Linked DNA regions of Lepisosteus oculatus. The protein of the gene in region 1 interacts with the protein of each later gene in a pairwise test. Links are inferred from orthologs where the notes say so. Each region holds a gene or a part of one and is shown in the gene's direction. Other genes may lie near its edges.

Region 1 (7,409 bases):
AGAGTTTCCACATTTTACACCTTACTTCAACTTTCCTGCATTGCAAATGTGAACACAAGAGTGCTGCAGTTACTGTTTTTCTGTCAGGATATTTATATCAGGAATATAGCGAATCTCAAAAATCAGATGTCCTAAATTTCATACAACTAATGACACTGCCAGGATTTCTTTGTTAACTACAAACATACAAACCTTGCAAGAAACATTCAGTACCACCGATAGCACTCCCTTGAGTTACCGATCGCTCTCAACTATAACAAAAGTTCAGTTGGTCTGAGTAAAAGCTATATGTGTCTGTTGAAAGTATCCTTTCAACATTTTGTTATGTGACATCTACAATAAAACATTTTTGTGGCTATATTTTCCGATTTTCAGGGAATGTAACTTCCTACAGATCTATCCTGTGAAACGTGTTTTCTGTAGTTTGTTGTTTCCTTTCAAGGTTAATGACATCACTACCCCATGGGCCAGTGCCATGTTAGTGCCTTTCCACCGAATATACAAAATTGATATTGGTCCATTGGTATTGGTTCCAGGCTATCATCAGAAGAACCTTTCCTTTCTTATGAGAGAAGGGGAGCTTGGAGTGATTTATTACCATCAGTTGCTCTCTTGACAGCATGCTTTTGGCTTTGCTGAGATTTAGACACTAATCATGTAGTGGTAAAAAGGATGACTCTCGGGACAACAGATAAAGCTTTTCTGACCTTGGTTCTGTGACTAATGATTTTATGTCCAAGGAAACTTGTTCCTGCTACTGTATATGGCTTCTTACAACAATCTTTTATTTTTTCTCAAACAAATCATTCATTTGTATTACTTAGTCCAATTTAACTCTCTGACTGTTCAACCTTCCTAAAACCTTTCAAACACGCAAGATTATTCTGGATTTGGATTCCTAGCTCCCAACAATGGCAGAAGCATTTTACAATGAGCTGACGTGTTGACCTTTTCTTGAGTTGGTATAACCTCTTGTCCTCATTCTTGTCCTCAACTTCATTTTTTCTCTGCTTTTCACCTTTGGCTGCAGTAGGTCTCTACTTACTTGGGATTATGTTGTAATGTTCTCCTCTTAGGTGTGGATATAGTCCTCTTCAGTGATGCAGAAGACCGACTGTCTTTGCATTTAATCAACCACTGATGCCGAGTACCAGCTATCAAATATGGTGCTAACAATTTACAGTACTTCTGGCACCGATTGTACGAGCAGAGTACTGACCATCAAGATACCAACCATTAGATGCCCCCATTGTGGTGAGAGAGCTACTTTTCCCTTTAATTGACTCACAATGCAAACGAGGCACTGTTATTGGGATGCCCCAATAATTCTGGGACATTCGTTGGTAAGCAAGAATGAAGGAACTCTTTGTCAAATCCTTGATCTCGGGTGGCTAAACAGATATCTATTTAGCTCTGTATTTGAGAGGCTTGTCTTATCTCATGTGCTAGTGTGAAAAGAGTCCTGTCGCTGGCTCCGTGGAGTCTTTCCAAGTGAATGGCTGTGGCCCCGGCCCTTATTCATGAGCGCTGGGAATATAAATGCTTAACTACCTTGAAGACGGACAAGTTCTCAGTTGAACCAAGTTGGAGGTGAACACAACAGGTTATCTTAATGTTAGATCATGCAACAGCACTGGGACAGAGAGATTTGGTGGATATTTGCGTGACGGGACTGTGTCTAAAACATCATGGTGGAACGCCTGTCCACAGGATGGCTGAATGGAGACGGTGCTTCCGTCTGGAGGCAATAGAAATGATTTGGAGTCTTTATACAAGAATGACTGTGGCCTTGTTTGACATGATATGTTTGTTCTTCTGCCACCTTGGTTCTTTCTACAGGAGTTCTGTAAGGCCGGGTACCCTGATGCACAAATAGCCTCCAGAGTTACTTTATGCCTTTCTTCTACTGGTGCTGTGTGATCGTCGTGGTTCTGGCGTCTCCGGCGTAAGGCAACAGGGCACCAACCGTGTGAGCTAAAGGAGACCTCCCTCAGCCCAGGCAGCTGAGGTCCCTGTTACGCGCAGGAAGAGCGCTGATGTCACTGCACTAGCTCCGCTACACTGCTCTCACATTGTCACCTTACACACAAAGAAGAGTGTGTCCAAGTGTTGGGCACTGCTTACTGAAGTGATGTTGGTCTAAAACACCACTCAAACAAGCAGCCGGTGCCACATCTTGAACCATCTATGACGGGATTTCTGCTGAGGCCCTCTGCACGGAAGCTTTCCCCTCCTAGCATGTCCACTTCCTACAGGCTGAGTGGGATGGAGGCAGTGCAGCCATCAGTAGAGTTTAGGGCTTTGCATTCTGCCTCGAAGTCTATTCATGACCCATCACCACCATGAACTTTGATTTTTGCCCTTGAGGGAACACCTGAATTTCCTTTCAGGGAGCCAATTCTATCAGGGTACCGAGAGCAGCCCCGTGATTTTTCTGCTGCAAAACGTCAAGATGTTACAGTCTGGAGTCTTGTTGCACATCATTTGAACAGGACTTGGTTAGGCAACAGAATAATGAAATGTTGGAGTGGGAAGCTATACCAGTGTGAGAAGGTTGCAAAGGAAAACGTTATGGTTATACCTTTGCTGACGAATAGAAAGGAGAGAAACAACATTTTGGCTGTTGGGCCTTCTGTACAACATGTTGAGCCCTATGCCAAATGTTCTAGTCAGTCCCAGAAGGAGACTAGTTCACATACATTCATCAATCTGAATGGTCCACACATCTAAAATGGCCTTCTGCTGAGGCTGCTGAGCACACCAGAAGAAGGCTCAGCAGCCCAAATGTTGTTGTTCTCCTTTATACTGTATTTGTCAGCATGGAATTGATGTTTACTTGATTCTTTTTCAAACTTATAAGGTGCTGGAGGACCAGGCAAGATTCTAGCAACAGCTATGAATACCAGACCTTATACCACCAGATTTTTTTTTTTTAGAAAGGAAAGCTTGAAGTATCAAGGTCACTGATAAAAATCACGAATAATATATCAAGAACTTTGGATTTGAAAGACGATGCATGACATGGAAGTTCAAACATGTTACATTAATCAGATCTATGATTTGTTGCAATTGTTCTTTCTGAACTATCATAAGAGTGCAACAAGTGTACACAATTACATTCTGAAAAGATTGCCAGGTACAGTATAATATGTGAATTTTGATATACAGTAACATAATTAAATATAACATGCTATAATTCTAACCTCAATTCGTATTAAAGTCAAATATTGACTTAATTGTATTTGGCTAGTCCTCCTTTCTTTTCTGTTTATGATATCTTTTGCAATTATTTCTCTTTTCTATGGGGCATATTGTTAAGTAACAAAGGGGGTGAGACACACAACAGGCGTTTGCTGTTTCCCAATTCCCCAGGAAAGATCCTGCTGAAAGTCCTCTTCGAACTGTTTGTAAAAAGTGAGAGAGCTATTCCCATTTGCCCGAAGGAGACAATGTAGCTGTCTACGGAAAACACATTTTTCTATAGTGAAAATAACGTTTTACAACCGCAAATGTTAGTCTTGCATAAATCAAGAAAAGCAGGAATACCACTGCAACAATTTCTCCTTCATATACTTGTGATACCGTATATCTTGGCAATGCTGTCATTTAAGTGAATCCTAAAAATACGAAAGATGGTTAGCACTGCTGAAAACTGTCCGTTTGCTTCATTTTATACTTCCTTTTGAGAACGGTAAGATATTAAATCTGGAACTTTCAAAAATAGGTCTCTTGTAAAAAAAACACTACGAACTCTACTCCACGAAAAGCAACATAACAAGGACATATTTCTTCTGGAACAAAAATAAAAGTTTAGAAAAAATAAATGTTGGCACATGGTATTCAGCAGCTGTCCCAGTTTATCAAACAGGGTGACCTAAAAGCATTGTGCTGTGAATTCAGATAATGGTGCTGTATTCCCAGATGACTACAGGTAAGCCAGACATGGTGCATTCTTGCGTAATTAGAATTTATTGGCGAGGGCCCGTGAACTAAATGAAGCAGTATCGTTTTTGTTTGATCCGCATTTAGATCCACTCTCTGCGAATCATAAGCACAAAAAAATGCGTCCAGCCTGTGCAGAACCTTAAATCGCATTTGTAACGAAAACTAAAAAAATAGGTGCGTGAACAGAAATCAATGAAAATTATGCTGTAAGACCAGATATGACACTAGTAGTGACATGTGATGTGTCAGTGAAGTTCAACTACTACCTGCAAGGCAGACTTCAAAGACCTCAGCGGTGCAAAGCACTCATAACCCCAAGCCGCGAAGCAGGGCGTGGCCCAGGCGGATGACGCCGCCTTTGTCCAATCAGCAGCGGAGCAACTCCCTGCCGTGCAGCCAAGTGGCCAATCAAGAGCAACGCGAGGGGCGGGCTCTCACCCTGTGTTGGAGTCGGTGCTCTCTAAGCTGCAACCCGGCTAGAGTAGAAGGAAGTAAATAATTAGATGGGAGGATTGATGTCATTTCAGTGTTTACGAAGATCAGTTTCCCCTGGCAGAATTGCATAACCCGAGTCCATTAACTTTGCGGGGTCCCCGTGTCTGTGCGTGTAAAGCAGCAGCGATTTCCGCTGGTGTGCGGGACTGTGAAGTGCACTGCTTTGCTTACTGGGGACGCCGCGGTGCGGGTTTAAGGTGGGCCTTGCCCGGATGTCTATGTGACTAAAAATCCCGGCACGGTCATCTCCAGATTAAAAAAAAAATAAAACATTTTTTTTACTCAGTCGTCCAAGTCTTCGGCATCATCCGCATCCTAATAGTGTCTGGGACTATCGTGCATTTCACCAGCCGATATGGGTAAGTCCTAACAAAATGATATGCGCTATGCGAAGTTCTAATATAGATCAAGTTCATATTGGTGGGGCATCGCTGAAATACTGTTGGTAGTTCGTCAAGCAGCCAAAGCTTAATCTTTTTGAATGTATCAGGCTTCTTTGCAAGAGGCGTATTACTGCAGCGGGTTGGTGGGGTGACCGTATCTTTTTTTTAGCAAATTAACGTTATTCTCTCATATGGAACATCTTGTTATCTAATCATGGTCTTTTCTCTGCCCAACACGAATAAATGCGCACTCACACTGATGGGGCTGGTTTCACATACAGAGTGGACTATGTAGGTGAACTGGTCTAGGACAGAGGCTGATTAAAAGGTCTGGGGGCTAGACCATAATATTTATATCCTACATTTGTAACGTTTTGTGGTGATTTATCCATTTCTGTTGCATTGAGATGAATAATTATTTGACTTTTCTATAATTTTATTTTTTGTGTGTTTACTAAACCGTGCAAAGGTGACAATTACGTATTATGCATGTAGGTTTGTACATACTCCTAATAGCAAACGTTTTGCTTTGAATCAATTTGGAGTTGGCGTGTCCGGTAATTTGCTATATCAATGTGCAGTCTCCTATGGCAAAGGAACTGTATTTTAATATTTAATATTATTGCGTTACGCAATCCACGTGTGATTATTTTGCACACGTTTGCCTATGAAAAGGGTTCCTGGCGCGTGCAACTGATTAATGACGGCACTTGACAGAAAACACTTTGTTTATTGTAACAATCTGCATGTGTCTAACAATGTAAGGGCCGATCAACGCCTAATTTGGATACTGCTTTATCATCAAACATCTGTAAAGAGAAGGCAAGGGTTTTTATTACCTTATTTCCGGGAAAGGAGAGTAGTTATGGTCGTGTTTGACCTGATTCAAATTTATAGTTGCTTTATATTATGGTATGATACTGCTTGGATTAGAAGTATTTAAAACTAGTGTACAGCATGTGGTTTTGAGTGCAGATACATTAAATGAAATGTGACTTGTACAAGGCATTTTATGCCTTGTTAGAGCACTGCATTATTTTTTTTTCTTAAAAGGATATAATAAAATACAATGGTGTGTCGTGTTTTGTGGTTGTGATTGGTTCTGGAAGAAGACAAATCCTTCTGAAAATAAACATTAAATGACTATTAGTGTGATGCCAAGATGTTGAGACACTGTTGCAGTAATCTGGGTCGGATACAAAACCTGATGATGCTTGTGGGCATTTTCTGAAAGTGAAAAAGAAGGTCTGGTTCACCAAACTCCTGCTGGTAAAGGAGACTGTGAAGTTGTTATATTTTTGGTTTATTTTTCACAGTCATGGTCCAATGTGTTGATCCTCATTCAAACGTGAAATATTTCTTCTGGATAAATCACTAAAGGGGCCCTTTGGGTAACGAGGTTTCAAATTAATGTTTCTTTTTTCCTTCAAGAGTGTTCATCCTGGTAAAGGACCTTATTTCAAGCCACTAGAGCAGGAAGTAAAGAAATTCACCACGGTTGGAGGCAATATTTTGTGTTCATTGTATTTGTCCCTGTTCAGTAAGGACATACTAAAGGAGGTACTCAAGATATGACCAATCTTGAGTTTTCTTCAGGTCTGTACAAAAATGCACTGATCTCTTTGTCACCTTAGTGAAGCACATAGTGGAGCTACATTGAGTGGCTTTGTGGAATAGCTTGCACATAGACAAAATATGAAGCTGTCTTCTGGTTTGGATACAGAAACTGAAAACATTGACACTCAAGTTCTCCTTTCATTATTTAATACTGCGTCCAAAAGAAATGGGAATCCATTGCTCTGCTTCTGGGGACATAATAGTCCATGTTTTTGTGTGCCACCTTTACTGAATAATTTTGTCCTCAGATACTCGGTGCCTTGCGTTGCATTTGAGACTCTCACATTGTCACTGTTCTGGGACCTCATGTAATGGCTGTGAGATCTGTTCGATGTGCTCCACCCAAAGTCTTCAAATGACGTTTGAGAACTTGGAAGAATGGAGAACTTGGCCTGTGAGTTTGGTTCTCCAGGACACAGAGCCTCCATACACCCGTGAAGGTGTTGAGACCATGTGTGCTATATTGCACCCTCCACACATCCCCATGCTACCCCCTGCTCTCCAGCAACTGAGAGAGATTGTCTTGACTCAAATATTTTAATTATTCCTGACATCTCTGTACATGATTCATCCAGTACTGTTGTAAGGTGGTTCCGTGATACTATTGCATAATTGATCTAGATTGTCTAGGTATAGAACTGCAAGTATCTTAGTAAATTTTCCTTGAAGTTATCATCTAGTTGAGAATTCCTGCGAGGAATCCTGGAGAATTGTGAAATGTGAAAGTTTGCTTTAGAAACCTTATCTTTCCCCATGTCCGTGTCAGGTCGATCGTCATTTTCATGGGACGTCCATAAAATCCATTTCTGTTTCCATCCTTTTTCCAACCCCTTCATGCAATTCAGATTCATGGGGGGAAGAAGAGCCTATCTAAGGGGCTCAAGGCGGGGTACTCCCTGGGTAGGTTTAGAGTTGGGGTTAACCCATAGACAAGCACGCACTCACACCAGGGCCAGTTTTCACTGAAGC
Region 2 (7,270 bases), on another chromosome or scaffold:
ACGGACAATTCCATTGCATTCATTGAACATTTGCATCTCTGTGTATCCCTCAGTGTGTACAGTATCTTCTGCCTGTGTGTTAACGTGATGGAAGGAGAGCACACAACACGATAGCTAATGTCCTATAAGTAATATATTTTTTTTTTAATTTTTGTGATCGTTATGTCCTTTATCCCCCTCTGACCCCTCAATGCGCGAACCATTTCCATTTCTCATATTTTCCAGTTTGCATGACTGCATTCCAGGTTTGGACACTTAAGAGGGGAAAAAAAAAACGCATTAGCAGGATACACACAGACCATCAACACACAGCGATCCTCTCTTACCCGTGGTAATCCAGTTGGATTGATCGACTTTATTCCCAGTTTCCTCTGACTCTTTCCGAGCACTACTGTGTTGTGCGTATTCTCCTTTCTCTCTATGAACGCTGGCGGTTTCCTCCTCTCGCTCGCTTTGCTCCAGCGATTTCGGGCTTGCAGTCAGTGTTGGTAACAGAGACACACGCATACACAATGTGGGGGATGGGGATACCGAGAGGCGAGGGAGGGGGGAGAAAGGAGAGGAAGGGGGGGTCAAGCAAATTGGAGGAGGACCTTTTCTCTGTGACGTCAAATTACACGAACAAACAGAGACTGTTCCCCCCTCCCCCTTCTCTGTCCCTTCGCGTATCATGGCGCACACTAGTGACGTGGTCGTGGACATGGGGGAAACTAGCGCCTTTCAAGCAAATTGCTGTGTGCATCATTTTTAATCAGTGGGACAATGACGTTGAGCTTGTTTTTTTAATATATGACTTTAGTAGTCTTTCTAGGAGTGTTTCAACGAGACGCTGTTCTTTTTTATAGCCTGGGAAATGTCCTCCCCGAGCATGAAATTAGTTCGTTTTGCGACGAACAGCCATGTTATATATGTGTTACATTTTAATGGCCATTTTGTATTATGTGTCAGAGGATCCATGACGCGGGCGTGATCGTGGAAAAAAAAAAAGAACCACGTCCCGGGTGGATGTTAGAAGACATTGTGTTCTAGAACAGGGGGCTCCTACCCACTCGAGCTTTTCTTTTCATTGAATCCTTCATTGAACTAGCGAACTGCTTGGCTGAAACCTTTGCAAGTTATTTATTTCTTCGCAAAAGCTGGAAGGGGAAACAGTTAATGGGTTCACGTAAATCGTGTCAATTAGGGGTTCGGTTATGTGACTGGGAATGAAGAACTAGGATATGTAGGACCCAATACTTTTTGTATGTAAAACCTGAGACAGAATCTAGTAAGGAGGACACAGGGTGTAGACTCTTTAAATTCACCCCATTTTTGGCCAGATAAGTGATCTACTTAACGTTTTATTGTCCTTGAGAGCTGAAACAAATTGTATTAATTTTATTTTATCCATCATCATCATCAATCTTGGATGAACGTATACTGCACCAGCGGTCACATCGCTTATGGGTTGTGCTTGCAGTGGTCTTTGCAGGGACAATATCAATTGAAAAGCAGCCACCCTCTACGACTAGGTGCGCCAGCAATTCATAAAGCAGATTGAAAAATAATATTTCTACCGATCCTTTAAATACGTTTGAAGCAGAGTGCACATATTTGTAATATCTGAAAATACCAAGATGTGTCTGTTATTATCTCATCCAAACATGACCAATGGGGTCTGTTGCAGAAAAGAAATACTATCAGACTAGAAAGCAAGCGCAGTGCCCAGGTGAGACAAACCCCGACGTTTTCAGATTCCGAGTGGTTATTGGGAGATCATAAACAGTTTATTAGAGCAATCAACTGAACTCACAACACATCGGGCAGATTTTAAGAGCAGATCTTGAGCACTGCTTGAGCGTGTGCTCGCTCTAATTGATTTAATCAGGACTTAATACCGTAAAAAATCTTCAACATCGTTTAAAAGCAATTCAGTTAATCTAGACGTGAATGTTTTGATTAAGTTTAGCAAAAAAATATGCAAAACTGAAGCCACGTTTGACCTGACTCAAAATATTATGACATAGATATGACGGTAAATTTAGCTTTTTTCAGGCTTTAGAGCCACAGAAGACCAATATTGCGTTATCACCCCTGTGTGGTCAATAATGGAAGCGGATTTTGAGACTTATTTCCTGCAGAGGATTCACACTGTAACGGAATAGAATCAATTGCCAGTGTGTGTTCTGCACAGAAAATCCACAGTCCCTTTGAGCATATTTAACTTTTGTCTATTTAAGATTTAATTATAAATCCAGTAATGACTTCAAAACACACAGAGTGGCGTAAAGTGCACCTTTTCTAAAAAAAAAACATAATCCAGGTAACTCTCTATGGTGTTCATTAATCTCATTATTTTTGGCAACGAACGAACGGTTTTGGCAATTTCTACGAGGTCTGAGTGAGCATTTGGTGAGCGTCCTCTTGTGGCAGAGATGTGTACTACAAAAGACAAATCTTCATCACTGTGCTAAAGGCCTAAACCCTTTGATCTCTTTATTTTGGCCCGCTGCCCAGAAATGGATAAACGAGGCAGACAGCCCACAATTTTATTCTCTATAGAGACCTCCGAAGTCTGACCTTTTCGTTTGTTCAGGACATCAGACGTTTGAAATCAAGCAAACCATAGATATCCTGAAAGAATAACCAGATTCACTGCAGGGGACATGAGTCAAGGATACATTTGATAAGCTGCAAGCTGTGGCTGTCTGTGTGTCCTGAGCCTACCACAGATCTGACCGCTGAACAATTAATAGCACTTGAATGGCAGCACTGATTACATTAAGACATTAAGATATCATACTGACTAGGTGTAGACTCCCTGAAGATTTAATACATAAGTCTTTTATTTTGCAGCACTAAATCTGCAAAACGTATGGAAGATTACAGTAAGATACACATTTAGAGCCTCTTGTGATAAACCATCTAATATTCTATGTCTTTATTATCAACCTCAACACACAAGGTATTTCCAATGATATAAACATCTAGTAATTTAAACTCTCAGGGTAAAATAGCCCTTTTTTCTGCAAAAAAGAAGGAATAATAGTTCACACTGCATGTTCTGCACTGGAAATGAAATGGTGTGACAGTTTGCTAAAACAGAAGAACTGGATTTGTAGTGTTGGAATACTTGGGAGTCTTCAGTGTTTGGTACCTTGTTGTTAAAAAGTGTGGTAAAACTTCATTTACAACAGCTTCAACATATTGCCTTGTGGACTCCAGTGATTCACCGGTCAGATAGTGCTCTTTTCTTATTTTTGCAGAGCTGCACTCTTGATTTGCATTAGGTTTTGCCGCACATCGATTGGCCTCTGCTTAGTTTATTCATCATTTTTCCATTCTATTCAGCTACCTTGACTATAGAAATAGTTCTAAAATGCCCAAATGGAGCAAAATAGTAACAGATAAAGTCATCAAGAATGTAGGAACGTGGTCATGTGAGTCCAGTATTTGTGACAACCTGATGAGTCATTTGAATTGTATTAGTCAGGGATTTACAACATAAGAGCTTAATGACCCAACCTTACAAGACTTGTCTTCTTTCTGTATCTCAGGTGGTCTCTACTGTACATACAGTGCATGCTGGGATTTGTATTTGTTTAAAATTACTTAACTTCATCTTCATATCTTTCATAGTCACGTCTTTTTTTTCCATTTACTGTAAGTTCCATTTTATTTCCAAACCTCATAGCCTACAAAACCTTAAACAAAAACTACACTCTGAGTTACATCCATATAAGTAACTTTTAATATAAAATGCAATTTTAAGAATGCCTAACACTTTCCATGGATTGAGTGCTAATTTAATGTCAGTTTGATTCACCGTTTCATTTATTTCATGTTTCATACCTAGGTCATGTGCCTCTGGTTAACATCCATACCAGCTGCACAGAGGCATTTACCAGATCTACCTTCCAAAATATTTTACATCAACATGCAGTCAGTGCAATAGCAAAAATGAGAAATGGCCCAGCCTCTCCCAAAACAAATGTATTGTAAAAGCATCGAAATAAAGTGTGTCTAAATTAGGGCTGAAATATATGATATTATTGTTGCTTTTAGGTTTAGTGTGTATGATCTACGGTTAGCAAGGAAATCTAAATGGAAGCTCTAAACAGAAGCTCTACGTCGGTTCTAAATCTGGAACTTGCGGAGGAAGACCAGGGCTGTTTGTGCAGGAAAGTTCCAGGCTTTTCTCAATGTCCACAGGCTAATGCAGGTCACTAATCCCGCATTATCCCACGTGTCAGCAGCGAGATTAAAGGGAGCCTCAGAGAGACCCAGAAGAAAACAAAGAGTCGCAGTCTTTCCTTCTCTGGGACCATTTCCCCGATTAGCAGAACTGTGCAACCAGGGAGCAAAACCCTAGAATAGTCATCAACATCAAAAGGAGATCTTCCCGACACGTTTTCCCACTGTTCATCGTCACACTTTAAAGGCGACGTTAGGTATAATTTCCCCAGATGGCTCTCATGAGGTCAGGATGGCTTTGGAGACAAAGTAAGTGGACATTTGATTTATCGTTAACTGTCTTAACTGCTTTGATTAGTTTTCCTCTAGTTGAAGTGTATGATGCTTAATTAACAATAGGGGACAGAACATTATTGCTCTACAAGCTGTAAGAAAACATGAAGTAGTACCACAAAAAGAAATAGAACATAAAGTTCAGATAATGTAAAACAACTCGAATAGAGAACTCTATACTCTAGCAGTGCGGCACATGATTCCTTTCAAAGTAGTGTTTTTATAGATAAACCAAACACGAGGGTTTTTTAAATACCAAAAATAAGAATATAATTTTTGAAAATTTAATTCATGTAAATTTTGTATACAAAGGTAAAGGCTGACACAAGATATGTTTTGTAAGGATGAATTATATACTGACAGACAATAAAAACACATCACGTGCTATTGGTCCCAGTACACATTTGGTACATATTGTAATGCCTCTCAATACAAACAAAGTTACAGTAGTTATACAATGAAAGGATGTGAATAAGAAAACATCAGTCATACTACTTTTGTTATTCCTATAATGGTCATGAAAATCCAGTTATCAAAGGATGAGTATTTTGTTATAACCTTGGGAAGGGTGATAGCTCCATTAAGTTTAAAGGAATGTAAAAAATGAGGGTCATCAGTTATGAAACCGGCACCCTTATGACCCGATGCTAATCCTATTACTTATTTGTGACAAAGGCTGAAGAAAAATATTAAAGGAGGAAGCCAGCCAGCAACATCGCCCAAAGGGATGGAGATTACATAATTTTAGTAATTTATCAAGAAATAGACTAGTGTGTGGCACGATGACGCAGTGGCTAGCATTGCTGCCTTGTAGCACTGGGATCCTGGGTTGCAATCTGGGTGGAGTTTGTAAGTTCAGCCTATGATTGTGTGGGTTTCCTGCAGGTGCTGTTATTTTCTTCCACAGTCCTAAGACTTACTGTCAGTATAACCATTGTCCCTGGGGTGTCTATCTGCCCTGCGATGGACTGGCCTCCTGCCCAAGGTGTATCCCGCCTTGCTCCCATTGCTTGCTGGGATTGGCTCCAGTTCCCCCTCAGCCCTGAGCTGGATAAAACCGATGGAAAGATGTGTCTCACGCCCAAGCAGCAGGCTTTCAGCCGATGGCTTTGTCACCGGCACACGCAGGTAATTCCTCAGAATTTGACAGCATTACCTGCATTCTTCTTCAAGGTTCTGTGCTCCGGCGCTGGAAGAAAAACTGGTTCGACTTGTGGGTGGACGGAAACCTGCTGTATTATGAAGACGAGAGCCGGAGAGACTATGAGAACAGGGTCCGCTTAAAGCATAAATGTGTCGCTGTTAAGGCTGGACTTGAATGTGCAGGTAAGATACGCACAGCTGATCCTCAAATCCTCTATCTTAACTACGCTTATTTCTTTCAAGAAAACCTTAGTAGCTTCTCAATATTGAAACAGAAAAAAAGAACATATATAAGGAAAAATCATACATTAGAAACAATTAAAAAATGACCAAAGCAAAAGAAAATTAATGAAGCAGTTATTTAACAGAGTGTCTTGTGGTCTGTATACCTTAAATAATGTCTCACTTATTCTAGCTCAGAAACACTTGCCTATTTCCAATTATACCTGACAGTCATTAGGGACTCAGGGCAAGAAAACCAGCCACATTTTAAAAAAAATTACTTTTCATTTCCACTCACTGTTGCACTCAGTCTTTCTAAATGGAGAGCTTTAAAAATCTTAGTGTACCACTTATAGATATTGGACCGTCTTCGACCCAATTAATTAGAATACATTTTCAAGCAACAAAGTACTTTTTTTCTAGGAGTCATACTGGTCACAGTTATCCATATCCATCAACTCATTGAGATAAACACATTCTGGTAATGGCTGCAGCATTGCAGAGCCTATTGCAGGTATAGGGCATGAGGCAAGTCAGCACATCCTGGAAGGGACACCAGTCTATTGCAGGGCTCACATACACACACAGGGTCAGACAATAAAGAGACATTTATTAACCTAATTTACTAGTCAGTCTGTCTTTAGACTGTAGGAGAAAGCAGGAACAGCTTGAGAAAAACCATGCCAACACAGTAGAACATGCAAACTCCACACACAGGGTGCCAAATCAAATTAAGGTTGCTAAAGGTAACAGTACTTCCCACCATCCACTCTGTTTCCATATATAAAGATGCACTACTAAATATAAAAAAACATCTAAGAGATGGTAATGATATATTTGATAAAATATATAGATTATATATATATTGATTGTCACATACTGCACTTCTTTCTTGGATTCAATATGTGTCCAATAAATCAAGCTCTTCAGAGTACAATAGAAATGCTTGTTTGGAGGGACACTGTTTTCTGTCCTGGCCCGAGCACTGCCTTCAGTCCTCGGAAATCGATGGTGTGAAACCCCATGTTGGCTTTCGTTGTTGGCGAAAGTGGAGAACTGTAATAGACCAGGACACTCCCTCACCTCTCCACATGCCCCTTCCAGGTGTGGACCCTCCGGAGGGCAGGCCAAGGGAATGCCTGGTACTGGTCTACCTGAAGGATGGCTCCAGACTGGCGCTGTGTGCTGACAGCGAAGACGAGGCGCTGTAAGTGCTCCCCATCTACGACTTCCTGACAGGAAACAGACAGACTGAAACAGGTTCCACCTGACAGAATCAAGTTGCTTATGATTATGTGTGTCTTACCTTGACAGCAAAATCCTTCTGAGGTCCCCTGTGCTGTAGTTACTAAACTCATTAAATTCAATGCCGTTTTGGCTTTATTTGTCATCTTGCCTT

What was found. The genes of interacting proteins can lie anywhere in the genome.
Region 2: the proteins of rap1gds1 (region 1) and plekhb1 interact in binary tests that used the Homo sapiens proteins (3 or more experiments, as listed by UniProt). The two-hybrid records come from large-scale screens. The link is inferred for Lepisosteus oculatus from reciprocal best matches to the Homo sapiens genes RAP1GDS1 and PLEKHB1.

Annotation. Positions count from the first base shown.
Region 1 is NC_090696.1:65,941,675-65,949,083, forward strand, and holds the start of rap1gds1 (rap1 GTPase-GDP dissociation stimulator 1), read left to right. Parts: upstream 1-4,365; 5' UTR 4,366-4,637; exon of another isoform or gene 4,638-4,726; 5' UTR 4,727-4,795; coding exon 4,796-4,799; intron 4,800-7,409. UniProt on the Homo sapiens protein: Acts as a GEF (guanine nucleotide exchange factor) for the Rho family of small GTP-binding proteins (G proteins) that stimulates the dissociation of GDP to enable subsequent binding of GTP.
Region 2 is NC_090700.1:9,518,569-9,525,838, reverse strand, and holds the start of plekhb1 (pleckstrin homology domain-containing family B member 1), read left to right. Parts: upstream 1-4,223; 5' UTR 4,224-4,445; coding exon 4,446-4,482; intron 4,483-5,679; coding exon 5,680-5,832; intron 5,833-6,975; coding exon 6,976-7,078; intron 7,079-7,270.